Oreochromis niloticus: one gene and its partners. The protein of the gene in region 3 purifies or fractionates together with the protein of the main gene of each other region. This does not show direct contact. Links are inferred from orthologs where the notes say so. Each region holds a gene or a part of one and is shown on either strand. Other genes may lie near its edges.

What was found.
Region 1: the proteins of nop2 (region 3) and nifk fractionate together in Homo sapiens (co-fractionation; 3 studies listed by BioGRID, with this or other methods). This does not show direct contact. The link is inferred for Oreochromis niloticus from reciprocal best matches to the Homo sapiens genes NOP2 and NIFK.
Region 2: the proteins of nop2 (region 3) and rrs1 fractionate together in Homo sapiens (co-fractionation; 3 studies listed by BioGRID and IntAct, with this or other methods). This does not show direct contact. The link is inferred for Oreochromis niloticus from reciprocal best matches to the Homo sapiens genes NOP2 and RRS1.
Region 4: the proteins of nop2 (region 3) and nip7 purify together in Homo sapiens (affinity purification with mass spectrometry; 3 studies listed by BioGRID and IntAct, with this or other methods). This does not show direct contact. The link is inferred for Oreochromis niloticus from reciprocal best matches to the Homo sapiens genes NOP2 and NIP7.

What each region holds. Positions count from the first base shown.
Region 1 is NC_031987.2:8,321,690-8,328,758, reverse strand, and holds the start of nifk (MKI67 FHA domain-interacting nucleolar phosphoprotein), read right to left. Parts: upstream 3,002-7,069; 5' UTR 2,886-3,001; coding exon 2,763-2,885; intron 2,152-2,762; coding exon 2,023-2,151; intron 1,483-2,022; exon of another isoform or gene 1,352-1,482; intron 1,278-1,351; coding exon 1,169-1,277; intron 1,058-1,168; coding exon 846-1,057; intron 1-845. Other genes in the region: high affinity cGMP-specific 3',5'-cyclic phosphodiesterase 9A, read left to right, coding at 6,137-6,224.
Region 2 is NC_031974.2:19,369,857-19,376,265, forward strand, and holds rrs1 (ribosome biogenesis regulatory protein homolog), read left to right. Parts: upstream 1-4,583; 5' UTR 4,584-4,617; coding exon 4,618-5,652; 3' UTR 5,653-5,908; downstream 5,909-6,409. UniProt on the Homo sapiens protein: Involved in ribosomal large subunit assembly. May regulate the localization of the 5S RNP/5S ribonucleoprotein particle to the nucleolus.
Region 3 is NC_031976.2:23,055,817-23,063,102, forward strand, and holds the start of nop2 (28S rRNA (cytosine(4447)-C(5))-methyltransferase), read left to right. Parts: upstream 1-4,279; 5' UTR 4,280-4,433; intron 4,434-5,298; 5' UTR 5,299-5,320; coding exon 5,321-5,426; intron 5,427-5,521; coding exon 5,522-5,564; intron 5,565-5,643; coding exon 5,644-5,708; intron 5,709-6,734; coding exon 6,735-7,099; intron 7,100-7,286. Other genes in the region: histone H1, read left to right, coding at 1-426; emg1 (ribosomal RNA small subunit methyltransferase NEP1), read right to left, coding at 1,971-2,084, 2,186-2,391, 2,553-2,694, 3,687-3,788, 3,935-4,084. UniProt on the Homo sapiens protein: S-adenosyl-L-methionine-dependent methyltransferase that specifically methylates the C(5) position of cytosine 4447 in 28S rRNA. Required for efficient rRNA processing and 60S ribosomal subunit biogenesis.
Region 4 is NC_031965.2:26,934,797-26,942,013, forward strand, and holds nip7 (60S ribosome subunit biogenesis protein NIP7 homolog), read left to right. Parts: upstream 1-4,473; 5' UTR 4,474-4,559; coding exon 4,560-4,615; intron 4,616-4,738; coding exon 4,739-4,825; intron 4,826-4,905; coding exon 4,906-5,044; intron 5,045-5,840; coding exon 5,841-5,981; exon of another isoform or gene 5,982-6,074; intron 6,075-6,181; exon of another isoform or gene 6,182-6,245; coding exon 6,246-6,365; 3' UTR 6,366-6,693; downstream 6,694-7,217. Other genes in the region: cdc42se2 (CDC42 small effector protein 2), read right to left, coding at 63-164, 2,068-2,121; telomeric repeat-binding factor 2, read right to left, coding at 7,074-7,217.

The DNA of each region.
Region 1 (7,069 bases), on a different chromosome or scaffold from region 3:
GTACACAAATATTAAAATAAACAATAAAATCAATAGACATTATACACAATGTAAAAGATCAAATATAAATAATGTAAAAAAATATATATATAAAATACATAGATCAACAAAAGGCTTGTTTGAACAGAAAAGTTTTTAACTGTTTTTTAAAAGAATCCACAGAGTCAACCAAGCCGAGTTGACACCGATCTAACAGTCTAACGGTCCTGGACTGCACACAGTATCTGAGGCCTGAGGTTAAAGAGAATCTGCTTTGACTTTCTGGACTGTTGCTCAGACAGAATAAAGAGTATGAAGACACTGATCATAGTTTTCACTGTTTATTGTGCAGGGTTTCTACTGCAAGTCCCAGCAGCCCGCAGGCTTAAATCGCAGCACATCACAGGATTTCATATTTTGAAAGCCTTTTTTCTAAAGCTACAAACAACCATGAGTTTAGTTTGTGGCATTTATATTTGAAGTGGGGAGATTCCTGCAGGGAATGACTCGTAAGAAAGCATGAGGGTAAAAGTGTGCATGGCTTCATTAAATAATCTAAAGTTTCTGTAAATAACCAGATGATTTTCAGGGGGACAGGTGGGAACGTTTTTCCAGATTCAGTTGAATTTATATGGAATCAGCAATATTCCAAATTGCTGTTATCAGCCTGTAATTCTCTGAAAATCCTTTTTTGTAAAAACTGAAGCTTCTGAACAGATCACAGCTGCACGCTGTTTGGAATTTAGTTGCAAGAAATCCATTAATTAAATCAGACGCCTTTAAATATGCTGCCATGTCACGGCACACTTCCAATTTTTAAAACCTAAACCCGTTTAAAGTTTCCGCTCCAGCGTGTAAACACTTACGAATCCGGGGAATTCGTACTCGATGCCGTATGCGGCGATCCTCTTTCGGAGCCTTGACTCTTTGCGCAGCAGCTTGCCGGTCATTTTTGCAATTTCCTCCTCCGTGTGCTTCTTGTTGTAACGCGTTACTGCGGGATACGTCGGCTTTTTGAACCCTCGCTCCGAGCCAACAAACAGCTTCTCGTGCACCTTCTCGGGAGGAAACACCTGACCTGGGAGAAAACATTTTTTTTTATAAATTTAAATAAACATCAGCTAGGAACTACGACCTTTACAGGAAAACTTCCTGTGAATCAGGATCTAAAAGGTGAACTCTGACTTACATTTGATAAGTCTCTCTCCCATCAGGTAATTATTCATCGTCTCTGCAACAATCTTCGCCACTTCATCGCAGTCAAACTCGATGAAAGCGTAACCTTTGCTGTTACCAGTCTGCAAACAAACAGAGAGAGGAATAAAGTGACAGTCACAGATTCTGCCCTCCAGATGTTTTCATTCCCTCCAGTGTTTGTTGGCACATGGGTTTTATCACTCTGATAACAGGCAGAGCAGGTGATAAGCTTAATGTACCAGAGTACTCTAGGCTCAGTTATCTGACCTCAGACGACTTTTACATCTGAGATCATTTTCAGTCTCAGCCAAAACTCCAGATTTTAAGAAGTGGAGCTTCAAACAGGCTCCTGCCTGGACTTCTTAAACCAAAATAAAGGAATCTAAATGTTTGCAGAGAGTGTGCTGGTTTCAAGAATGGCGATCAAGAAGTTCCTCAACTGCTCCTGCTGAACACGGAGCTGTTGGGAGTCAGTTTTATTACTTTGTTACTGCTTTCAGGAGACAAATCCATGCAACTTTTTACCAAGTTATAGTTCAAAGGTCATTTTTTGCTTTGATGCAACATGTGGGCTCCTTTTCTGGTGAGTTATACCCAAGATTTTTATCTGGAAGTTTCTGTTCTGGCTATGAGGCCTCAAACCACACAGTCTAAAATCAGCCTCTCAGTGACTCTAAAGTTTTATCCAAAAAAAAAAAAAAAAAAAAAAAAAAAAAAAAGACTCCAAGTGAAGTTTGAAGGAAGTGATACATCACTGCAGGAGCTGTGAAAGTTTTACAGATGCAGTTGAAGATTCTGATTGCGCCTCACACATTCACACGTTTGTTTCCACATGTTCAGGGTTACCTTCTTACTGCGGGACAGCCGCAGCCGCAGGATCTTCCCAAACTGACCGAAGTAAGATTTGAGCTGAGGCTCCACCAGGTTTCGGGGCAAGTGGCTGACGTAAATCACTCCTGGGGTCAGGCGGTTCGCCTGTGATGGGGAAAAGACAGATCACGACATTACACAGAGAACTGGGCCTTCACCTGTGATCAGATTGTAATACGATATAATGCACAGACTAAATTACGAAAAACAAAATGCGATACTATAAAGATTTATTTTTCCCAGACCGGCTTTTAAAAAGTCTACAAAATAAAAGTACAAAATAAATACAATTTATATATATTAAACATACAGATGTTCACCTCATTTACAGATTTTCTTGTTTAAATATCAGTTTACATTCAGTTTGGTCACATTTCTTTGGGGCCAGTTCTCTCCATTTCTTTACTATAATAAAATTAATCTTTCTCTCAGTCCGTAAACTTAATAATTTGAGACAGGATGTCATTTTTTCTTCTTTTTTTTTTAAAAAAACGGGCCTGCCTTACATCTGTAAACCTGAGTAAATATGCTGCACGTGGGCCGACTGACAGAGTAACGACCACGAGCCTATAAAGGTTTGACGGCACCTGAACCTGAGTTAAACACAGACTACAGAGAGAGACATCAGCAGTCTGAGAGTAAAGTCAGCGACAGTAAACAGGAGGAAAATAACTGCAGACTATCGGGTCTCCTTCAGGGCCACATGTTTCACCCACCTTGCCTGATTTCTTCTTCTTCACCTCCTGAACCTTCTTCCTGAACTCGGACTCCTGTGCAGGATTCAGCGCCAGCAGCTCTTTGGCCGCAGCAGGAGCCGCTTCGGCGCCACTTTCACTCATTTTTCGCTGCTGGAAGCTACAAACGCCACATAAACTGAGACAAACACTCACTTAGCCGTCCAAAAACCACGATGCTGCTGCTGATAATGACCCACATCCGGCTGCACATGCGCTGAACACCAACGAGTGACGGAGAAACGCGTCACGTCTGCAGCTCCGCGCTCTGTGCAGCGACACCTACAGGCGCGGAGGTGAGTTTGTTAGTCGGTTTCGTCTACATTAACTATTTTCACGCTCAAAAAAGAAAGAGAAAAAAAACTCAGTAAAAATGAAGCAATGTTTTAATTAAAGGAAAGTGAAATTAAAAAAAACAAAGGTTTATTTATTATTATTGTTCCTCTTTAAGAATATTTAACCCTCTACTGCATGACTTTTTAATTTTTTGGGAAAAAAATATTTCTCCCTATTTTGGGGGAGCTTTAGGGTCCCTAATAATATATCAATCATAAAATTTGACACCCTGCCCCCCCCCCAAACAGATATTGGTTTGTTGCTTCAAGTTCAAGGCAACACTGTGTGACAAGGGTAGTCAAACACCAAGTTATTCTATAATAAGTTTTATTAGTACAACAAGGATGAACAAATAAATAAACAACAAAAAAACAATGTAAACATTTCACAGAACAATAAAACACCAAAATACATCCAACATTTGACCCTAACCCCATGCACACACACACACACATGTTGTATTTCCATCACTTTTGGGGACATTACATTAACTTACATTCATTTCCTGGAGACTTATCCTGACCCTACCCATCACAAGTCCCTGCCTGAACCTTACCCTAACCCTGACTCAAGCCTTCACCCTAAAATTGAATGATTTACCTTGCTATTTGTCCCCATAAAGTAGGCAAGACCTCACAATGTGAGTGTGTAAACAAATTTGTGTCCACACAACAATAAGTAATACACGACCACACACACACACACACTAACACACACACAGACACAGTTACTTTACCAACTGACCCCTGAGCTCCTAAGTGTCTCTCAAACCTGATTCAGGGATCCACTCCTCTACTTCACTGTCACTCCCTGAAAGCTCACTGTCCTCACTTTCTGAGGACAGAAAGTGCTCATTCCCTTGGTTTCCTTCCATAAATGGTTTTTACATCCATGTCTTGTAATTATAAGAAGATTGTAAAGTAAAAAACATTGACTATGATCATATAAATGCACACAAACACATCTCTACACACATATTCAAATGCATTATATTGCCTGAAAAAAAATAGGCTAACTGCACAGTGTTGCCTTGAGGCAACGAAGGGAAAGAGGGAAAATTTTCCTGGTATATTTGTATACCAATCAACTACATTTAATTTGACCATATTCATTTAAATTCAACATTTTACTTTGTATTTATTTAACAAAAAAAATGGAAAACTTTGCAAGTAATTGGATTAAAGTCAGAATTTTCAGCTAAATCTTTTTTTTTTTAGTGTATTCTTCTTCTTCTTCTTCTTCTTCTTCTTCTTCTTACAGGGGCGATCGTGGCTCAAGAGTTGGCAGTTCGTCTTGTAATCGGAAGGTTGCCAGTTCGAGCCCCGGCTCCGACAGTCTCGGTCGTTGTGTCCTTGTGCAAGACACTTCACCCGTTGCCTACTGGTGGTGGTGCCCGGTGGCGCCAGTGTCTGGCAGCCTCGCCTCTGTCAGTGCGCCCCAGGGCAGCTGTGGCTACAATGTAGCTTGCCATCACCTGTGTGTGAATGACTGAATGTAGTGTAAAGCGCTTACAAATACATGTTGATTTCCCCCAAATATAGCTGATACTACTACTAATGATGATGATAATTATCATCAAAATTTTCTCATAATAATAATAATAATTATTATTATTATCATTATTATTATTATTATCATTATTATTATTATAGCTGATACTACTACTACTACTAATGATGATGATAATTATTAGTAGTAGTAGTATAAGCTATATTTGGGGGGAAATCAACATCACATTTTCTTATATGATTATCACTTCTTATGTCTCACCTGGCTGTATGCATCTTTACCTCTAAAGTTTGAGAACCACTACATTTCTATTCATAAGAAACATCTCATAACAATTTTAATTATGATAAAAATTCCTGCTTCAAACACCAATCCTAAGAATGGAAATAATAAAAATGTGTAAAACTGAAAAAAGTAATTGTGTAAGCATCATATTTTATTTTATAAGGTTTCATACATTTTGGTGCAAAGTCTTAAATTACAAAAAAGATAAATATTTCAAGGAAAGAAAAACACATTTGTGCAAAAACTGAAAATTTGAATAAATTTGAAAACAAATGCAATAAATAAATAAATACATAAAAATGAAATATATTGAAATGAAAATGAAAGAAAACTTAAAACTGTGGAGAATAAAAGCAAAAATACAAAACTCTGAACTAAAAATATATAAAAGTCAAATTTTAAACAACAAACAAAAATAAACACATATAAAAGTTTTCACATTTAGAAAAAAAAATGGCCATTTTAGGATTAAAGTTGAAATTTCGACATTAAATTTAATTAGTATTTTGAGAAAAAAAAAGTCTAAATGTGGAGATTGTGGTTGTTGTTTCAAACCAAAGGACTGCCATGGCTCCTATACCTTCTATAAAATTCTTAACATGATCTTAATACTGTTTCATAGCATGTGACTACTACTGTATGTACACAGCATCACAGCATAGGGGAACCCTGTAAAGGCTGAACATGTGCCCTAACAAATGAGCCGCAAAAAGCTGATATCTGATCACATGTAAGCTTTATATTACTTCAGTCAGATTTAAAAGTATTGTCTCCAGAGAAACCGTAACTCACTCTGAGGTCGAGTTCAACTTTGACCCTTTGAGTTAAAAAGCAACAACGTGCACTAAACAGCAGGTTCGCTACAGCACTTAAATCACAGCCAAAAACACTCTCATTGGTTATCTCATTCTCAGTTTGGCTCTATAAAGACCATTCTCTCTTTCTTGTACACCATGTTCACCTCTGTGCCCTTAATTTGTCACCCACAATTTGAGAACCACTACTGTAATCACTTAAAAAACACCATCATAACCTTTGTAATTGTTATAAAAATCTAAATTTCAGGTGAATACAGTTGGCTGTTGCTCGGAGAAATGTTGGAGTCAAAGGCAGGGAAGGAGGAGGAGCTTAGGAGGAGGTGGAGAGGGGGTGGAGTGGAGAGGAGATAGACATCAGAGCCAGTTCAGCAGTGCACACAGCAGCATCAGTGGGTTTAGATTCATGACATGGAAACAAAAGTCATCTACTTCACGGTGAACGGGAGACCGGAGCAGGCGGAGTTCCCGGTCGACTGTCCGACTCAGGACGTCAAAGGTAGGAGCCAAAGCTGAAGTTTATGTTTCATATGATCAAATGCATTCTAACGTGTTGTTTTGGACAAATGAATTAAAGTGGAATATTCTTATGCTTAGAGTTCAGGAAATACTCTTCTGTGACTAAAATCAATAAAGCAAATTTGATAAATGGAGCAACATAAGACAAAGCAGTCTTTGCTGCAAATACAGCTGCCACTGACAGCTCCTCACCTCTCACAGCAGCTTCAGCCTTTGGCATCATGGTCTCCACGCACATTACATACTGCAGATCTTACTCATTAGAACAATGCTGTAACTGCAAGCAGTGTTCTTACTTAATTTAGATGACTGCATTTAACTTCTATTGTACTAGTCGTTGAAGTTTACTTTCCTATATTGAATTATCTGAACATTGTACCTGCATAGTTGTAAACACTCGTTCCACTTAATTTGTGCTTGATTTTTCTAAACAGTTCTGCAGTGGGAAGCTCAGATTCGAGGCACTGTCAAAAATGTTTACCTTTACATCGGTTGCGGGTTGTTTCTCTTGGATCAGTGACCATGACATCAAAATCTGTACAAAGAATACATAAAAATGTAGTAAAAATGCATTCAAATCCCCTAAAAACAAAAGATCAAATAAAACACAAAGTCTTTCTTTAGGACTTCTTTCATAGAAATGAGTTTTTGCCAAGTTACAATTAAAAGTATCAAAGGCTTTGAATGTGCTGAAGATGGCCCAGAGGAAAAGGATGTTGATTATCAACTGGAAAACTTGGATCACACCTTGGATACTGAGAACTTTACAAATATGAAGTGAAACGCACAGAAATTGTATCAATAACCTAAAGAAAACAAAGAAAT
Region 2 (6,409 bases), on a different chromosome or scaffold from region 3:
CAAGATGAAAGAAGTCGCCCAACAAGCAGGTATATGAGATTTTAGCTATACTGGTGAATTACTGCCCTTGGAATTAAAATACATCTTATCATGGCGAGTTTGGTCAGGTCAGCCAAAAATGATTATTTTAATTTGTACCTGAGGTGATGTGAGGCAAAGCCGTTTAAATTAATGAGTGAAACATTTTAGGTTTAAAAAGTTCCAGGTGGCCATTGAGGAGGGGGTTGTAATGAGTATATAACCTCTAATTGTAGACCAGGAAAAAAATATTTATTTATCAGTTATTCTTTTTTGTTTAGTTTTTCCTTATTTATCTTCTTCCTGATTTTATGGTAACAGAGTTTATTGAGAAGTTGTGTTTTCAATTTAAGGAGCTTGGAAATACAGTGCCTGGACTTCTTAAGGTTTCTTGAAGACGTTTCCCCTCTCATCCAGGTTTCTACACAGACATAGTCTATGAAGGGTTAATGGAGATTAAAGATCAGATGCAGGTGCTAAAATCAAATGCCACCTGTGGGCAACATGGTTTTATTCTGTATTCTTACATTTTGGGGACGCAAAGGGGGTGGAGGGCGTCAGTTGGTCTCAGGATCTCGCCTTCGCTTTTTGTCTCTGATGTGCTGCAGCTGGCTTGATTGAGCCATGACGTCCAGCTCATACTGGGGCGGTTTGCAGCCGAGTGCGAAGCTGTTGGGATGAAAATTAGTACCTCCAAGTCTGAGGGCGGAAAAAGAGTGGAGTACCCACTCTGGGTAAGGAACAAGTGGAGCGGTTTAGTATCATGAGATCTTGTTCATGAGTGAGGGGAGAGCTGCAACGATGTGGATGCTGAACCGGTGAACATGAAAGTAAAACTGTCAGTTTAGTGGTTGATCTATATTCATACCCTCACTTATGCCCACAAGACACAATCAGCAGAAAAAAGCTTCCTTCAGAGGGTGTCTGGACTCTCCCCTAAAGATGGGATGCAGAGCTCAGTCATTCAGCAGAAACAGCCATTAATCCTTCGCATCCAAAGGAGCCAGCTGAGTTGTTTTGGACTGGGATGTCTCCTGGACACCTCTTGGGTGAGGTGTTTTGGGGATGCCCTATTGAGAAGAAACCTTGTTTGCATCTCTCGGCTGCCTTGGTGTCCCCCTGAATGAACTAGAAGGAGGTGGTTGGGGAGAGGGAGGTCTTCTCTGCTTCTCCGCAACCCTGATCCAGACTCGGATAAGTGGGAGTGGATGAACAGATTAATGGATGAATGGATGGCCATTCTAACAGTATTTTTGTTTTATTATGACAATATTGAGGTTCATCCCACAGTCTAAAAAAATCAGAATAGAAAATGGAAGATACGACTTTGATATAATTTTGAGATCAGCGGCTCATCATGCACGTTCTGTTGATCAATTTAACCAAATTGACAAATGCTTAAATTTTAAATATTTCTCATGTATTTCTATTTTATTTTAGCTTGTTTTGTAAGTACATTGCCTTCAAAGGTTTGGCATTACGTACACAGATCTGTGTTTTTGAACAAACAACACATTTGCATTTATTTAAAATAACAATAAATTGATCATAAATTATGCAAGTGACTATTAATGATTCATTGAATTATTCATCCTTATTGATTTTTCATCAAGTATCCATTTTCAGGAGCCATCACTCAAGTGTTCCTCAGCCATATTGTGTTCCCTGATGTTAAAAGAATAATAACAACTTTTCCATTTGTGTTAGCACTGTTAAAGTTTCCTCTATCCAAGGTCTGTATTTTTAAAAATTTTAATATTTAGCGTTTATTGGCTTTGCGTCTCTGTCTTGAAGGCCAGCATTATGAGGTCGCCTCTTCACGGCTGATATTGAGTGTGGTGTTTTGTGGGTACCTTTAGTCACGATTTGCGAGGGCAGATTGCGTGGAGAGGAGAGTGGACCAAAAGCAGACAAACAGCGAGATAGGTGGATGTTTAACAGACAGCGAGCCTTTATTCTTGGCTGCAGGAAAATACTACAAAACAACTAGCGAAGGGGAACTGAGAAAAACATAAGCACATGAGATACACAGAAAACACAATATAGAAACCTGGAGAAACCCCGGGACTTGGAAACACGAGAAGTGAAGCAGTGGATGATGAGCAGACGATCCGACAAGAACAAAGGAAAATACACACAATAAAGACAGAGGGTAACGAAGGTGACAGAAGGGAGACACAGCTGAACCTAATCTGACACATAAGACAAAGAGGAAGCAAAGCGGCACAGGCGGTTGACTGGTTGGCGGTGTGGTGTGTTGCGGCAGCCGCAAGGCAGTTGAGCGGCTGGCGGTATGGCGTGGTAGCTGTAGGCGGTTGAGCGTTTGGTGGAGCAGTGTGGCAGCTATAGGCGCTTGAGCAGTTGGCGGCGCAGCAGCTGCAGCCGGTTGAGCGATTGGTGGCATGGCGTGGCAGCTGCAGTCAGTTGGTGGCGTGATGTGGTGTGGCATCCGCAGGTAGTTGAGTGGTTGGCTTCGCGGGAGCCGCAAGTGGTTAAGCGGTTGACGGCATGGCGTGGCAGCCACAGTCTGTTGGCAGTGTAGTGTGACGTGGCAGCCGCAGGCGGTTGAGCGGTTGGCAGCGTGGCGTGGCAGCCGCATGCGGTTGAGTGGTTGAGCGGTTGGTGGCGTGGCGTGGCGTGGCAGTCGCAGGCGGTTGAGCGGTTGAGCAGTTGGTGGCGTGGCATGGCGTGGCGTGGCGTGGCGTGGAAGCTGCAGGCGGTTGAGTGGGAGCGGTTGAGCAGTTGGTGGCGTTGCGTGGCGTGGCGTGGCGTGGCGTGGCAGCTGCAGGCGGTTGAGTGGTGGCTAACCTGATTCTCCTGAGTGTACAACAGACAAGGAAGGTGGCTGGACGGGCTCACCTGAGCGAGGAACAAGAGAAAACACACACAAAGACAGAGGGTAACAAAGGAATACGAGACAAAAGGGAGACACAGCTGAACTTAATCTGGCACATGAGACAGGGAGGAAGCAAAGCAGAATACTCTAACACAGGTGTGGGGATGTCAAAGTAAAGCAGGAAATACACAAATATAGGAACCAGGATAACTAGACATAATACAGAACACAGGGGAGGCACATTAACAAAACCTAAAGCCTAGGAACTAAGAATATAAAACAAGCAGAAAACAATAAAGAGAACCAAAACCATGAATAACAATAATCAAGGAATATAAATTAAACAAACACAAAACACAGGGTCACAGACCCAGTACTGTGACAACTTTTAATGAAGATGCTAGTTGTGGAGCTGCAAGGTGACTCAGAGTCGAGGTTCTGATGTAATCTGATGTTCTGCTGCTTAGCTGAGACACCAGGGTCTCCCTTCTCTTTTTCTAAGGTTAGACACCCTCCACACATGTAATTTAACAAATGCAGTGCTCAAAAACAGCAGGACAATTTTCATGTATGCTAACATAAATTAGCCCTCAATACATTTTCATTGGGTAACACAGTGTCTAACTGAAACACAGGAATGACTGCTGATAATGGACACTTTTATGCCTATGTATAGATAATCCATTAAAATCATGAATGATATACTATGAATGACTCCATTAATTTTCATTTACACCATTTCTTGTCAATTCAATGTAATTTCTATAGAAAATAAAAAAAATTTTTTATATAAAACAAGAACATTATAGAACCTCAGGTGGGTTTTTTGTTTTGTTTAAAAACACCTTTAGATTTTTTAATTTTGGAAATGTATTTATTATTAAAGGCAGATCATTTTTGTATACAGTGATGAGAAAAAGTCCATGTGCCACTTCTCATTTCTTTATATTTTGCTTGAAAAACAGGAAATTGGCAGAGCGATTTATTGAAGCATGTGCAAATATATATAAATACATGTATATACAGCATATAAGAGCAAAGATTGAGTTTGTGCTCCATTTTCAATCCATTTTTTCTATCCAGGTATGCTTTTACTGAAATGACAGTATGTTTGGTTTCATTGTCATGCTGAAAAATGAAGATGTTGCCAATTGGACAATTTCTAGATGGTGTTGCATGGTGGATCTGTATCTGATGCCACTGAGGTCACAATTCATCACTTTTGACAAGATCTCCAAGACCACTGGATGAAATGCAGCGCCAAACCATGACGGAGCCTCCACTGCGTTTTACAAATAACTGTAGACACTCACTGTCCTGCCTGCATATTGATGACAATCTGAACCAAAAATGTCATATTTGAATTCATCACTCCATCAGATCTGCTGCCACTGATTTTGAGTCTAGTTCTTGTGTAATTTGGCATACTTCAGCCTTTTCTCCCCGCTTCCCTTCCTTAAGAACAGCTTCTTGACAGCCACCCTCCCACTGAGACCATTTCTGGTGATGCTTCAGTGAACACTAAATGGATCACCTGAAGGGCCAGATCCATCTCTCGGGTCCAGTATCAGGTCTTTGTGGATTTTTCTTCCTGTCTCTTGAGGACATGACTTTCAGATACAGTCGCTGTTACGCAAAGAAATGAAACGACAGCGCTCTCCTGTGGTCACGTGTCAAACTGCAGCTCGACGACTTTGACCCGGAAGCAGTTTCGTGTGTTTTTCCTGCCTCACACGTGGGGTTTTCAGGCAGCACTGAGCAACATGGCAGCGTGCAGTGTAGAGGAGTTGTTGGCTAAAGCTGAGGCGCAAGAGGCGGAAACCCTGAAAAGCATATCAGTCCAGAAAGAGCTGGACCTGGAGTTTGACATCGGGAACCTGCTGGCGTGTGACAAAAACCGCATCGAGCCTCGCGACCTCCGGGAGAAGAGCAAAGAGGACTTTCTGCGTGCTCTCGCTCGCGACAACACGCAGCTTCTCATCAACGAAATATGGAAACAGCCCACGGAGAGGGTCGAGGAGGCGATAGTGGCCAAACTGCCGGAGCCGACGACCCGGCTGCCCAGAGAGAAGCTACCACCGAAACCCAGACCTCCAACAAAATGGGAGCAGTTCGCCAAGCTGAAGGGCATAAAGAAGAAGAAGAAGACCAACCTGGTGTGGGATGAAACCGCAAAGGAGTGGAAGAGGCGCTGGGGCTACAAGAGGGCCGGCGATGACACCAAAGAGTGGCTGATCGAGGTCCCCGAGAGCGCAGACCCGAATGAGGACCAGTTCGCCAAACGCGTCAAAGCCAAGAAGGAGAGGGTGGCCAAAAACGAGCTCAACAGGCTGAAAAACATCGCCAGATCGCAGAAAGTCAAGATCCCTGCTGTAACCCTGACCCCCAAAGCCAGCCAGTCCAAAGATGAGCTGGCCAGAGCCGAAAGTGTGGCCAAAACCTCCACAGCATCCTTGGGGAGGTTTCAGGACCGCCTGCCCAAGGAGAACCCAGCAAAGAAGGGCAAGAAGAGGAAATTCGAGCCCCTCATTGGCAACTTTTCTAATGAAAAGCAGAAGCAGCTGGAGCTCCTGAAAGTCATGGACACTAAGAAGCCCAAGTTGGACATCACCAAAGCTGTGAATAAACAGATGAGGGAGGAGGACAGAGAGGAGGCTGCTGCCAAACACAAGAAGGCAGCAGGGAAGAAGGGACGTAAAGGCAGCAGCATGGGTGGAAAGGCCAGAGGAAAAGGTGGGAAAGGAAAAGCAGCAGGAGGGGGAGGAGGGAAGAGAAGAGGCAAACCTGGGAAGCGCTGAGGACTCTTGTGTCTTCCTGTGTGTGGGTGTGTGTGTGCCTGCCTTGGCATCAAAGTGTTGGACATTCATGATGCAATATGAACTGATCACCTGGTTTACCTGTGGCCCACGGGTGGGATGCTCCCTCCATCTATGTAAACTATGTTTACTGTAAATTTTGACCCCAGCAACCATGATGTTTCTTTTCGATATATGTGTAATATTCATGAAAAAAATTCACAAATATACTTTAATATTACAGCCAAGTAGAACACGAGTGACTTGTTTTTCTGTCTTTAATTATTGCAGAAGTTATTTTTTAGTTCTGTGTGATTAAGGCTAATTTTGTTACCCTTTACATATTACTTTTTAAACTCTATATATACATTCAAAAATATTTGACTTCTAATTTTTAATTTCATTAAGTTTATATGAGTTACATAGTTTTAACGACAAAGTTTAATGTAGTTTATGTAACTTTGGGGAAAGACTTTAATAGTACTAATAAACCCAGAGTGTTTGTGCAAAACAAATTGGGATTATAAGCATTATTTGATATTTTAAATTAACTTACAATTTAAAAAAAAAAACATTCTTTAAATTGGGCTCAGGGACCCACATTTGTCTGTAGTCAGGAGGTCAAGAAATAATTTCCTATAAATCATAAAGGTTTGCTGCTGAATGATTAAAAAGTGTTACTCAAATGAAGATTTTCACGTGATTGTGGCTAATCATGTCAAACTAATGAGCTCACTCTTTTCTGTCAGGGTGCATCAAC
Region 3 (7,286 bases):
AAATCCCCCAAAGGAGCAGAGAACCAAAAGAGACGAGTGTTAAAGCCAAACCAAACCAAACCAAAGAGCAAATCACACCAAACAAGGGCAACACCTCGAAAAGTTAGATCACCCAATCGAAAACGCAAGCGTCGCAGAATGGCGGTCACATCGCACAAACTAGCACGCAAAACTCGCAAAGCAGCAGCCAAATCACACAAACAAAGAAGGAAGACAACCAAAGGAAGAAAATCACCAAAACCTGCTGGCAAGAAACGCAGACCTGCAACGAACAGGGGCGCACGAGTTCGAAAGGCACCGAGGAAGGCTCAAAAGACTCGGAGACGCCGACCAAACCGAGTCCAAAATCGGCATAAAAAGCAAGCAAGACGGAGGCTTCCAAAATCAAAGTTGAGATCGAGGAAAAGCACTTACTACTACCACTAGGCTGAGTCTTCATGGTAAACAGTAATAAACAGAACCCGTTTTTAGCATCCTGAAATACACTTAGTTCTATGTTGTCTTTGTGTTCCTATATCATTTTTTCTTCACTTCACTGTACAGACCATAGATCGCATAAAAGATCGACACAGTTTTTTAGACACTAGTTCTGAAAACTGAAGCTTCGGTGGAAACTTGCCTTTCTTTTAAATGCTCCTTGGGGGGCGATACCTGTGGTTGCAAAAAGATTGTGTATTGAGGTCAGACAGACATGTGATCATTAACCATGTGATTGCCATTTTAAATGGGTGATAATGTAGGATCAAGTGAATAAGGCTTCAGTCACACGAGCCTAGAGACAGCCTGTATCTACCTGGCAACCACCAGTTGTGAGGGAAAAATGAGTATTCCCTAACCTATTATGAGTGGTTGTTGGAGGTTGATGGGCAGTCTCTGGGGAATTGATTGCTGAAGTCCCAGACACACAAGCCTAAAGGCTGTCAGTGATCTCCCTGGCAATCACCTGTTGTTAGGGAAAAAGGTATATTTCCAGCATAAACCTCCTTGTGAATGCTTTGATCAGCAGCACATTTTTGCAGTTTGAATGGAAGTGATGAACTTATTAACTTCAAAGTAAAACTTTCACCCTTTGAAATACGTTGGCTGCAGCACTGAGGCTGAACTTTATTTTGAAGGCAAACATTCGCCATTTCGTGTTGCATTTTTTCAAGTTTTACTACCGCTAGACTAGTAGTTGGCAAGTGCTGGCAGATAAAAACTGCAGGCAACCGTGGCAATCTGCTAGTAACCAAACCAAAGTGCTTTTAGTGCAGCACCTTCTCTGCAACTGATTTTATCCTGGGAGAGCCAGCAACCTCCAGAAACCACTGTCAGCCAGTTGGAGAATACACATTTCCCTAGCAACCAAGTGATTATATGACACCCAATATGGACTCTCAAAGCATTGTGCACATGATGTCACTTGAAAAACCTCACTAGAAGACAATTGCAAAACAGCTCTTGGACTTGACCTCTGAATACTATCTTGATGAGTTTATGGGCTGAGTCATGAGACTTGGGTCATGTTGAATAAAATGTTATGTCCGTTTGTCAAACTGTGATCATCATATCGTGGTTTCACAGTCAATTCTGTCTCTCTCTCTCTCATTACATCATCTTGGTGCTTCAAAGCAGGACTTTATGAGTGGATGACATCACAGTAGCGATGTCCATCTTTTAGTTTATGGTTGTCTATGTGTGAACTCTTTAACTTTGTACAAATCAAGAGCACTCATTATTTAGTCACACATTTTAATGTAACTACAACAATCCATAATCAAAACTGTGCAATTGATACCGGTATAAAAATAACTGCCATGCTTCTGCATGGAAAAGGAAACAATGTATCTTCCACACATCATGCCATCGATTACGTATAACAGGATTGAACATTGGGCATCATTGGACATTCAGTCCAGTGTTTCTAGTCCACTGAAATAAGGTCCATGTAGTCAACTGTCTCTTTCCAGTCAGCATCAGCACTTTATCCATCACAGAACGCCCCACACCTCCTCAAAGGCAGAGGATATCTTGGCACAGGTCAGTGCTGCAGATAGGGGGTAGTTACTGATGGACACTGTCTTCTCTGTGTAGTCCACGTTAACCTAATAAGGACAGAGACATCAGTAACACACAAGAACTATTTGACATAACTGTAACAGACTAAAAGAGTCTGTAAAAGAGAATGCCTCAATATATTTCTCACCGCTCCATGTGCGAATGCTCCAATCACCACTGCGGCTGGTCCCTCTGGTACCAAAGTCCGTGGGCACACGGCCTCTCCCGAAGAGAAGGAGGTGCTGATACGAGGGCAGCCAGGAGGTAGGTGATTAGACACTGGATTTTTAATCATCCTCAGGAGCTTCTGAGGACCATCAGCAGCCCTGACACTGAGTTTGTGCAGCAGCTGAACTAAGAAAGTAAAGAGAAGAAAGAAGAATTAGGAGAACAGCAATGGAGTGAAGGCTCACTTAAAGCCAGAACACATGGGAATAAGACTCTTAAGTACAATGCCTACAGCATGATCAGTATGTGTATTATCCATGCAGAAAAAAAGAACAGTTATAGTTTACCCATAAGGCCACAGAAGCGTGTGAATGTTCTTGGGATGCGGGTCTGCGGGTTGATCTCGATTAAAGCGTTTTTCTCTGTGTGGATGTAAACCTGCAACAGCCCCGCCCTGTTCAACGGACTGTCCATCAGCATGAGCAAACACTGGAAATACACAGTTCAAAGTTAAAACCATTTATACAGCCCTTCATCACAAACATGCCACAAAGAGCTTTATATAAATAAACACAGACATAAAGGATAAATAATTCATTCATTTTTATTTCAATTTAATTTTACAATTTAGTTTCAGATTGCCTGCAAAGTATTTTGTTTCATTTTTCAGTTTCCTTATGAAGTGTTTGTCAGGCCAAGATATAAGAAGTTCAGAGTAGGTATTACAATACAAACAAAAGGCAACTGACTCACAATTATGTACATATCCCGGTCTCAATAAAATGCGCACAAAAGCCGCTCATGTCTGTTGTCCTACTTTTATTTTTGTTAGTTTTGTAATTACACACATTTTGGTTGTTTTGTTCCTAAAGTACTTCTTACACTACTTAATATTATTCTTACACTACTTAGTACTTTTTATTCATACTATACTGTTATATATGTGCAATATTCAGATTAGTAAAATATTACTGATGCGGTGGTGTCAAAAGTCAGCTAATGAAACTCTCTGCATCACATATTCAACATCCTTTGTCTAATGTATCCACTATCTGTTCTCCGGTACAAATTTGTAAACCTTCCCTTTTATTCTCATTGCTATCCTTCTGTCACAAATAACCCATCACGCTCATCTCCACCCACCCCACTGTGTCTGCACACTCTTCCTCACCTCTGTGGTGTGCTGCTACCTATTGCTTTGGTTGACCCAAGGTTTTTCAACTCATCCACCTTCACTCCCTCTATTCCTTGCATCTTCTTTATTATCAGTATCATGATACTTTTGTTAATCCCAGCAACCTATTGTGATATTTCTGAATTGTGAGTTGATTCTCCTGACACCTGAAATGGACTTCTAATCATAAAATCAATAATATAATTAACTTAAATGCAATGAAACTCCACTCTGATTAACTGTGACAGACTGACAAACACAAGTGAAGAATAAGGCTGTACATTATTATTGAGGAATGAGTGTTTACCTGATGTGTGATATCTGGTCTTATTTTTCCGGGATCTCTTCCACTTTTGATGATCATATTTTTGTGTTGGTCGCAATTTAACAGCTCAAATGTTTTCCCGACCTGGAATATGATAAACAAGCCAAAAGCATGTATTAACTCGACTTAAATTAAATTATTATTAAGCATCGTCGTTGATGTCACTTCCACTAAAAACAGGTAGGGGTTGCATCAAAACAACGCGCAAAGACAGCTCCTTAGCGCCTTACCTTCACCGTCTCTAACGACGCACCCTCCAGAATAACCACCAGCCTCCTCTCCGCCATGCGGTCGTGCAGACTGCGGAGATGCTTGGCTGGTTTAGGCTCATATTCGTCCAAATGTTCAAGACCACGCTTCTTCCCATTAGCCGCCGCCATGATGCCTCCCTGTGGACTGTCGCAGGAAGTTTACGTCACTGCAAAGGTGCGCGTTCACAAGTGAGTGTATTGCACATAAAAAAATGTCATTTGTGGGGGGTTTTATGAAGCTAGCTAGATTTTGAATGTGTAATTATGTGGTAAAATCAGACAGTTTTATGTTAATAAAATAAAACGTGTTTCCTCAGCGCCCTCGTTCTGCTCGCGCCACCCTTTCGTCACTATTGTGCGCCGGATGTCACGCTACAACGTGTTGAAGGAAATTTCACGTGTAGAAATCTTCGTCGTGCATCGCTCCACAATCACATTATAATTAGTGTCTGCGGACCTTAAAGTATCCAGTTTATTGGTGAGTATTTGAAGAATCGATGCTGCGATTCGCGTTGCAGCTAAAGAGCGGTTCAGTGGCGATAAGCTTTGAGTTGTAAGGGTGTACTTTTTAAAACTGTGCGGTCAGGTAATGGCTGTGAAACTGGTCACAAGTTTTTAACGAGGCTGTTTGGTAACAGTCTGATCATACATTAATATTTAAACCGTTTAATCCCCAGGGGATGAACTGGGAGAATTAGTAATAAACTATTAATCATTTGTTATAAGCAAACAAATATTTATTACTGTTTCAACAGTAAAGAGACCCTCTCTGTATCACTACATAATTTGAACACTGCTTATAATCATAAAGAGCATAGGTTGTGTTGGAGCTGAATTTATTGTAATGATGTTGGGCGGTTTTCTTTCCCGCAGATCTCCATCCAAAAAGTTTTACTTTTTTTCTTCAGTGAAATGTCTTATTCCTGTCAAAAGCAGAGCAGCTGAGTGGCTTAAGTTTAGGTGTTCAGCTCAACTCAGTTTGTAATTAGGAGTTTTACTGAAAGGAGTGATAAGATCTAAGTGCTGTGTTCTGCTTGTAGGAAAATTGAGTGGTTAAAACTGAATTGAAGTTATATAAATAGGATTTTATCAGGCATAAATGATAATTGGGGACCCCTCAAAAAAGATGTTTTAGTCAAGGAAAAGTGAAGTAATTGGGGCATCGTTTATTCAAACATAAGAGTCAAATAAGGTAACACCAATTGATTGTGTTTACTGTATGTAGAAAACCCATAATACTGTTAATATGTAATACCGCAGCCACGCTCCTCTCTTTCACATATACTGTATTTTTAGTTTTGTCTTAGGGTTTTAAAACACTCTTGCTGTGTTTTGTTTTTCAGGCTGTCTGTGTAGAAGGAAATCATGGGTCGGAAGTTGGATCCCTCCAAGAAGTTGAAGAAAGGTCCGGGTAAAAAAGCCCGGAAGCAGCAGGGAGCAGAGACGGAGTTGGCCAAGTTTATAACTGACGGTAACTATCCCTTTCCAAGTCAAAAGTTTCTGTTTTGGAGGTTTAGTAAAACACTCTGTAAACATTGTGTTATTTTTTGTTTTTAATCTTTGCAGAGGACACTGGATCAAAACGTCTCTCAAGTAGAGCCAGAAAAAGGTAAGAGGTGGACTGAGGATGTAACATGACATAAAACAAATGTGTTTACAAGCTCCTAATTCATGTTAAAATGTTTCAGAGCTGCAAAGAGAATCCAGAGTTTGAAAAAGCCCAAAGATGTTGCTGAGGAAAAGCCTAAGAAAGGTAAACAATTAACTTTTGCTCAGTCTGGTCAACACATTATTTAAATATTTGCCTAGATGCAAGCATGAGATTGTTGTTTTGATGGACCATCCTTCTCCAGTATCATTACAGCTATGTAAGCAGTTGTTTATTATTGATTATCGAGGGCAGTTATGGGAATATCGGCAAGGCATATTGATCCATGGTGAACAGCCAGACTAAATGTGATTCAAAAGATTTCTATGGAAAAACAAGGATTGAAACATTTTACTTCATCCAGATTGGGGTTTCTGCGGCTCGTTGGCAGCATCTGCTGTTCGTCCTCTTGGGTCTCACAACCTGAAGGAGGGGTTCTAGTGGTTCTGTGCTATGTAGGTCAGGAGGTGGCCTTGTTGGTCTAATCCCCAGTTACTGAAACTGGTTCATTAAGTATCTCAGAATTTTGTTCATGAGTGAGGGGAGACAGGAGCAGGAGACGGGTAGAAGGATTGGTGCGTTAGCAGTTATGCAGCTGCTGTACTGGTTTACTGTGGTGTGAGCTTTGGGTAGTGACTGAAAGAATAAGATTGCTGATATAACCAGCAGAAATGAACTCCTTTTGAAGGCTGTCTGGACTCATCCTTAAAGTTCGGGTGAGGAGGTTGTGCATTCAGGAGTGGCTTTGAGTGGAGCCATTATTCCTGCACATGGAAAAAATCTAGTTGAAGTGGTTAGGGCATCTCACCAGGAAGACTCTTTGGCACCTCCTAAGTGAGTTGTTTCAAGCCCATTCCACTGGGAAGAGGTCCTGGGGCTGTCCACAGGCTTTTGAGCTTGCATCTCTCGGCTGGCTTGCTAACAGCTTGGTCCACTCGTCAGTCCACTCCCAATCCTGAATAGGATAACTGAAAGGGAATGGAGGGAGGGAGGGATGGATATTGATTATTAATGCATCTTGTATGTGCCATGATTTCAGCTCATGACATTTAAGACCCTTAAATGTCAAGGAAACAAATGAATAAATACACATATATTTACTGTTTTTTCTTTTTTTCTTTCTCCCTAAAGGGTTCACAGATGAGAACAGCAAATGGTTGAAACCGTCAAAGAGGAAGCGCAAGATTGATGAACAAGAAAGTGAGGATGACAGTGATGAACACTGGGAAGAAGATGATGATGAGGAGGAAGAGGAAGAAAAGGTAATAGAAAAGAAGGGAGGAAAAGACCAGCAGAAGAAGGGTGTAAAAGGAGTGAAAAAAGAGGAGGCCGATGATGACGACGACGATGATGATGATGATGTTGAAGGCGATGATGATGATGATGAAGGCGATGATGATGATGAAGACGACGATGATGACGATGACATGGTTGACGACTATGGTGTTCAGGATGACAGCGATGAAGCAGCAGAAGATGACAGTGATGGAGAGGATGTATGTGCTCTTTCTTACCTTTTTTACCCTTTTAAATTTTTTTTTCTTTAGTGTTATTCAGAAGCTGAAACGAAATATTCTTCCAGCCTGGAAATGTGAAGATTGAAGCCTTATTTTATTAGAAAATTTTCACTTATGAGCTACAAAATCGGGAGAGTATTCTGCTTTCAGTGGCATTAGGCCTTAT
Region 4 (7,217 bases), on a different chromosome or scaffold from region 3:
TGTTAGCTGGCTGAAAACACGTTTGAAAATTCAGTGAAAACAAACAAACAAAAACAACTTACTGATGCCAAACCCAGGCCCATGTCCCCTGAGCCTACATGTGTGGTATGAACAAAGTTTGTCGGCTCCCCAATCATGGAGCGATCGATCCTTCGCCGCCGTTTCTGAAAAGTATCATAAATGTTCATTTAAATATTAATATCACAAGTAGACTTGCCATACTTCACACATTAAAGCAAATACTACTATCACTGAGAACTGAGAAGAGCATGTGTGAGCCAGAACCTAAACACTTATCAGTTTACTTTCTAAACCTTTGTTTGAAATATAGTGGATCTGCACTGATAAAAACCAATAACTTGAGTTATCTTATCTGTTAGCAAATAGCTCACTACCAAAGTAATAAAGTTTTACTGAATCTGTTTTGTCAATCCAGTGTTACTAAACTTACGTGGGGAAACTTACAGGGAAACGTTTTGAATTTCTATAATGGACACTGATTAATCACACTCAGTCCAGGCTGGAAAAACTAAACCTATGTGAATACTTCACTGTAAAGATTCTCAAACTATTCTGTGGGCAAACAAGACAAATGTGGACAAACAAAAAAGAAAACAAACCTGCCAAAATGTGGAGTGCTATGTTTAGAGGGAAACAAAAGAGTACTGGCAAGCCGACATAAAACACCATCCATAAAAACATGGTGCAGAAAGTACAGTGGGATTTATGGTCGAGCAGAGTGAGCGTGTTAGCTGTCCACTTCGCTCCAGGGCCTGACTGTCTGTGCTACAAACAGTCTGGACAACTGTGGCTCATGTTGTTTTTGGTCTATGAGCCAAACACGAAGGAGAACGAGGTTATAAAACACAAAAGCTGAAGTGAAACCGAGTATTAAAAACAATGAAAACTGTCACTGCAGTCACTTTCTGTGCTTTTCATACATTATTTTTTGATCTTTGAAGTTTTTGCGCGGTTCTCCTATTCCCATTGAACTCTGCTACTGCTCCCTGCTCTTTTCTGGCCCACTTATCAACCAATCAACATTTGGCAGTCGCATACGTCATATGATTCCAGCGAGACGCAGTCAGGATCTTGGAGGACTGCACAGCAGTGCTTCTCGCGTGGGTGAAAACTGGTTTCCCCTCTCTGACTGAAAATTGTATGCAGAGGGACATATTTGCGAGGCTATAAATCCCGCTTATCTTGAGCTGCTTTTATAGCTCAGGTGCACGACAATTCACATTCACAAAGGCAGCAATAAATTCATAACTGCATTACAAAACGTTACAGAATGATATCTGGGCAGCAGTCCTTGACCAAAAAGTCATGACAGATCGTGTGACAGCACACAAGTAAATAAACAAGAGGGTTTTTTCTTGGTTTGTTTTTTTTAAATGAAAAAACAAACAAACTAGGTTTTGTAGTCTGGGTCTAAAACCAATTTAGATACTGTGGCGTGACCTAGATAGCTTCAATGTTAAGTCAAGATATCCCAGATATAGCAGATATAATAACAAATAGTTTTTCCAGTGAGGAATGATCCAAATTCCCTCCCAATCACTGTGCCCGTCTTATGAGCAGCTACAAGAAACTTCTGATTGAAGTTTTTGTTTCTAAAGTAGATTCTAAACTCAGAAGTTAATTTAAATTTTAAAACCTTACATGAGAACAATTACTTGGGGAGTTTAATTCAGACAGGAAATGTACAAAGGTCTATAGTCCGCATGTTTTTGTCATTAACTCTGAATTAGCTGAGCAGTAAACCACATATGACGAGTAATCGATACATTACTCATGATCATTCCAAAGGACTCAACAACTTAGTATTGCCGCGGCAGGACAGGGGTTATTATTGTGACGTCAAACAGTTCCCTATTATAACCAGACTGTCAGACTGTCTGTCTGCCAACAGATGACCTTTGGCAAATATATTTAAAGTGTTTTTTGCCAGCATGTGTTTAACTGGATGAATGCTACTTTGTTAATCTATATTCAAATTAAAAACTTTTAAAAAACAAGGCAGCTTAAATTAAATAAATCACTTCTTCTTGCAAATTTCATACTCACAGGCTGTGGCTGCTCTGCAATGCAGCAACTGAAACAAACCCAGAACTCAGTCATTCTGAGGGCAACGAAGAAGCCGCAGCAGTTTCCTCTCTCTGTTCAGACGTCTCTACGCCCGTCTTCCTGTTCCGTGTTACCAGAGCCACAAACACACGCCGGAAACTGATGACAGACACAGGCCAGTGGCTTCTTGGGGGTAAACCGTTGGCACGAAATGTCTTGTCCCACTTCAGAGCACCACACACCTGCTGACACGTTAACAAATTAAAGGAAAATAAAAAACAAATCTCAATCAATTGCTGATATATTTTGATGTGTATCAGCAGGTTTCGGCTGCTCATGTTCCCCATAGCTAATAGTTCCCTGGCTTTACTTTTACGAGAAGCGACTTTTGATTGAAAACAATATTTAAAAATTCCTTTCTTGGAAGCTTGCCAAGGTTATTTTTAATCATACGAGTAAACGACTGTCAGACACACATACTACATATGAGGCATAGTGAAACATTTACGTCAGAAGGTTAAAAACAGAAAGCTAACCAAATACGTTCACCATATTCAAATGTTAACTTCTCTTGTAACAAGTCTTAAGAAAAAGAAATGGGGCCAGAGTGTGGCCTCTATTTCAACAAGCTGCCCAGGGGGCTCACTGTCACTTTCTCTTTTGTGGTTAATCTCCGGTGGTAAATAACTTACTACCTGAATCTAACAAACAGCCAGTGTTTCAGTTTTCACAAGGCTGTTATTAGCTCCGACACCTTGATAAGTTTTCCATTTTAATTAACATCTCTGTGGACTTGAAGCCGTCTAGAGGCTTATTTCACTAATAGGACAGCAGCACAGAAAATGTGGAGCACCATTTGGGAAAAAAAATAAAAAAAATAAATAAAACTGCCTTCATTGTACTGTACTTGTTCAAAATATACTCAATTCTATAATGAAGGAAATAAATTTGATTTTGGAAGCACACTGTGGCCATCAATTTGGTGTTGGATGACATTTTGTATTTCAAGATATCAGTATGGTGAATGTTGCTATACTGACAAATCCTAGGAAAAGAATACAAGTAATTTTAAAAGGGATAAATGCTGTAAAAAACTTGTGGGATTATCACTAATCTACTAATTTGTTTACAAGGATTAAAGAAAATGCAGTTAAACATATATGATCCACAAAGTTATTATAGTCAATTAAAATTGGGCGTATATTTAAGTTTAAATTACCTAAAATAATCTTAAAATCGTCATCATCAGTCTTTGCCGAATTTAGTCAAGTGTGTCAACACAACTAGGGTGGGGAGGCGTTGTGTTTTGGATGACTCTCTCAATGTGAGCCAACTCCCTTTACAGAGTGTTGTGTTTGTATTGCAACTCCTGTCCAAATATCAGCCACAAAAGACTAAACTAATACTCAAAATAATTAATACCAAACATAAAAACAATTAAAAAAAAATACACTGAAAAGAGTAAACAAGTCGAACAAAACGATTAAAAAACAAACAAAATAAACCCCAAAAAACTGGTGGATATAATCAAACAGTGTTACCACATATTTCGAAATGTCAATCGTGAGTGCCTTTTTTTTTTTGGTCGATGCCTCAGAAAAACACAGTAGAAGGCCTTCTGGCTGCCAAACAAGAGGTGACAGGAGGATCAAATGATCTGCCAAAAGCGAAGTGCTCGCTGACAGAGTGCATTTCCCAGTCTGTAACACTGACTCTGCAGCTGACGCTATACACCGCTGACACTCAACTGAATCCTATTATCAAGACGTAAAATGAGCGCAGACGTGTTTAATGATGATTTTAACCACATCTGACATCCTTTAAGGATCACCAACTCTGCCAGTGATCTTGGATTACTGGAACCTAATCGGTATTTACAAACAAATGAGCGTTATGTAACTTCGCCCCGCTGCGGCAAAGACGCTTTACATGACCAGTCTGAACACAGCTCGCAGCTGAGTGCAGTTCAACACATGTACTGCTGCTGTGCCGGGGCGTCGGCGTTGATTAGAAATGAACTGCTTTAGTAAATCGGAGTGTTAGCTCTATCACATGCTAATACAGCTAGCTCTCCAGCTAACGTTCACGGGCTCGATGATAGCCGCGGGTCTGTGTTTTTTTCCACTGACAGCTAGCTCTCGGAGCTAACTCAGCCCATTTTCGGAAGCTGTGACTTCAGTTGTTAAATTAAAACAAAAGCTTAAACAACTGCTGGTTTTCGCAATTAGAACCAACTATTCTTTCAAGCTTTCTTTGTGAATTGTAATTATTTTGTATGAGAAAACTTACCAGATGGCGACCGGTTTACCGGAGGAAAAAAAACACGTCCGTCCGACTGAACCCTAAAGGAGGCAAAAAACCAGGAACTGTGATCACTGTTACGTCATACAACTTCCGTTTTAAAGCATTACTGCTTCCGCGTAGACCCACGTTTTTTTCTCACAGAAGTTACGTTTGTCCGTTGCTAATATTAAGGATTTATAGTAGTAAATATGAGGCCGCTAACAGAAGAAGAGACCAAAACGATGTTTGAGAAGTTATCTAAATAGTGAGTGAACAGTTTCTGCGCCGTGTTAGCCTGTAAAGGTTCAAATTATACCAACACGTTCAGTAAGCCCGTTAGCTCACGCTATGAGTGTGTGTGTGATCCATGTGTTTTCTCTTGTAACAGCATTGGTGAAAACATAAAACTTCTAGTGGACCGACCAGACGGCGTTTACTGTTTCAGGCTGCACCATGACAGAGTCTACTACATGAGGTAATTTTGGTTAATTAACACGCATTTTGGGTACCTGTCAGTACATGAAAGGATTAAGACGTTTGGTTTTCTGTCCACAGTGAGAAAATTCTAAAGCTGGCCACCAACTTTTCCCGGGACAAACTCATGTCAGTGGGTACGTGTTTTGGGAAGTTTACAAAGACCAAGAAGTTCCGCCTGCACATCACAGCCCTGGATTTCCTTGCTCCATATGCAAAGGTGACTATAAGCAACACACAGCCAAGTCATTCCCTCCCACCAATATACCAAGCGGAGCTTAAATAAGATGGAGGAAACGAAACAATACGGGTATTATTAAAGTCCTCTATAGTAGAGGCTCATTCTGAATTATGCCACTAGATCATCTTCCAGAAGGGTTTTTGAAAAGATTACAGGAAAATTGTAAAGTTGTGGAGTGAGTATAACCAGCTTTTAGGATCAGTGACACATGACGGGTAGAAATTGTTTTTCACCTGTATAAACAGCTGTTTGCTATACAAGTGGAGAATCAGAATATTCAATCAGAAATAAAATCATTGTTCATAGCTGGGAAACACTGGGCATAATTTGCCGGCTCATGTGTATTTGTGTGCTATTACAGGTTTATTGCATGAAAAATGGTGCTGTACAAAAGTTGGTTTATAAACAGGCTGTTATTTAATTTTTTCCATCTCATTTCATCAGGCTTAACATGCACTATAAAAATAATCTTTTTTCAACAAATGGAAGTTCATATGTGAGAAGATGCGTATCTGTGGATACATCTGCCCATTTCACATCTTAGCTACATGGATACTTTAACTGAATGTATTTTTTTTTTTTGCTTTTTGAAGACCCTAAAATTGCGAGAACCTGTATTAAGTCATTGATAAATATTATGAGAACAAGTGAGAAGTAGCTGTATGTGTGCTTAGAAATTCCATGCTTTCTCTCAATTGTTCAAGCTTTTCATCTGTGCTGTCATATTGGACTCATTCATTCATGTATGAATAACTTGAAACTATCATGTATTCAGTTTAAGGTGTGGGTGAAACCTGGAACAGAGCAGTCTTTCCTGTATGGGAACCACGTGCTAAAATCTGGTCTTGGCAGAATTACTGAGAACACTATGCAGTATCAGGGAGTTGTGGTTTACTCCATGGCAGATGTGCCTCTGGTAAGTCCTTTAAAGGTTGCTCTTCTTGTCACACTGTTATGGACAGTATTCACAGTACAACAAAGATACATATTCCTGCTGGTAACACTCATGCTGGAAAACAAAGCACATATTATGCAGATGTTTTGTTTTCCTCAGTGCCGTGTATTCACAATAGGGTATTGGATAGATCCACTCATGTACTAAAAAGAGGTTAATACCTGATTAACTCAAGGTTATATGACAAAAGGCACTTATAGGCTGGCTGTTTGTCTTAATCTGCAGGGTTTTGGTGTGGCGGCCAAGTCTACGCAGGAGTGTCGGCGAGTGGACCCCATGTCTATTGTTGTGTTCCACCAGGCTGATGTGGGCGAGTTCATAAGAAATGAGGAAACATTAACATAAAGATGCAGAAACAAGTGGACTGTCAAACTGTTTATTTTTAACAGTAACACTCACTCAAAGTCAAATGTTCAGCTTTTAGCTGCTAAATATTTTATAGTGACATGATCTGATCAACGTTCCTACTTCAAGAGCAGCTGTTATACCTGGAACACTTCCCTACAGTTCAGAACTAAAACAAAAAACATGTCTATTGACTCACTTCTGCCATTTGCAGAATTTCCTGGTTTGTCCCCTCCCTGTTGTATTAAATGAGAAGGGTTTTGTTTTTGTGTGTATGTTTTTTGTAACTTGAATCTTGAAATAAATCCACATCTCTGTATCATTTAAATTAAAATTTTTACAAATATTTTGTGTGGGAGGAAAAAGGTACCTGTCGATCTTAGCTATATGGATATTTGGCAGCTTTCATATCTTTAATTAAAGGTCTGTTCTGCTTTTCTGAGATCATAAGACTGAGAGAACATACTTTTAAAGCTATTCCCATCTCTGTATCAATTCAACGAGTGTGTTTGTTATTTAGGGCTGCAGAGATGCTACAATAGTCACTATTACTGCAATTTCTGTTATCAACAAAAGAAACAATCTTTGAACCACAAACATTTAATATTTACTAAATTGTAAAGTGGGTTTTAAAATGACCAGTAACTTGTTAAGGAAACCAAAACAAATAAATGGAGATGGGGATAAAATGACATAGGCTTTGGTGAGTCAGACGATATTTGATTTTTTCATTGTTCTCCACCTGTCCTTCAGGTTGACATTTGTTCGATCTTTGAAGTTGTAATATGCCTTTATCTTACTCCAGTTGCCCTCTCCAAATTTTTTGACCCCATCTTTTAACTTCTGCGTCTC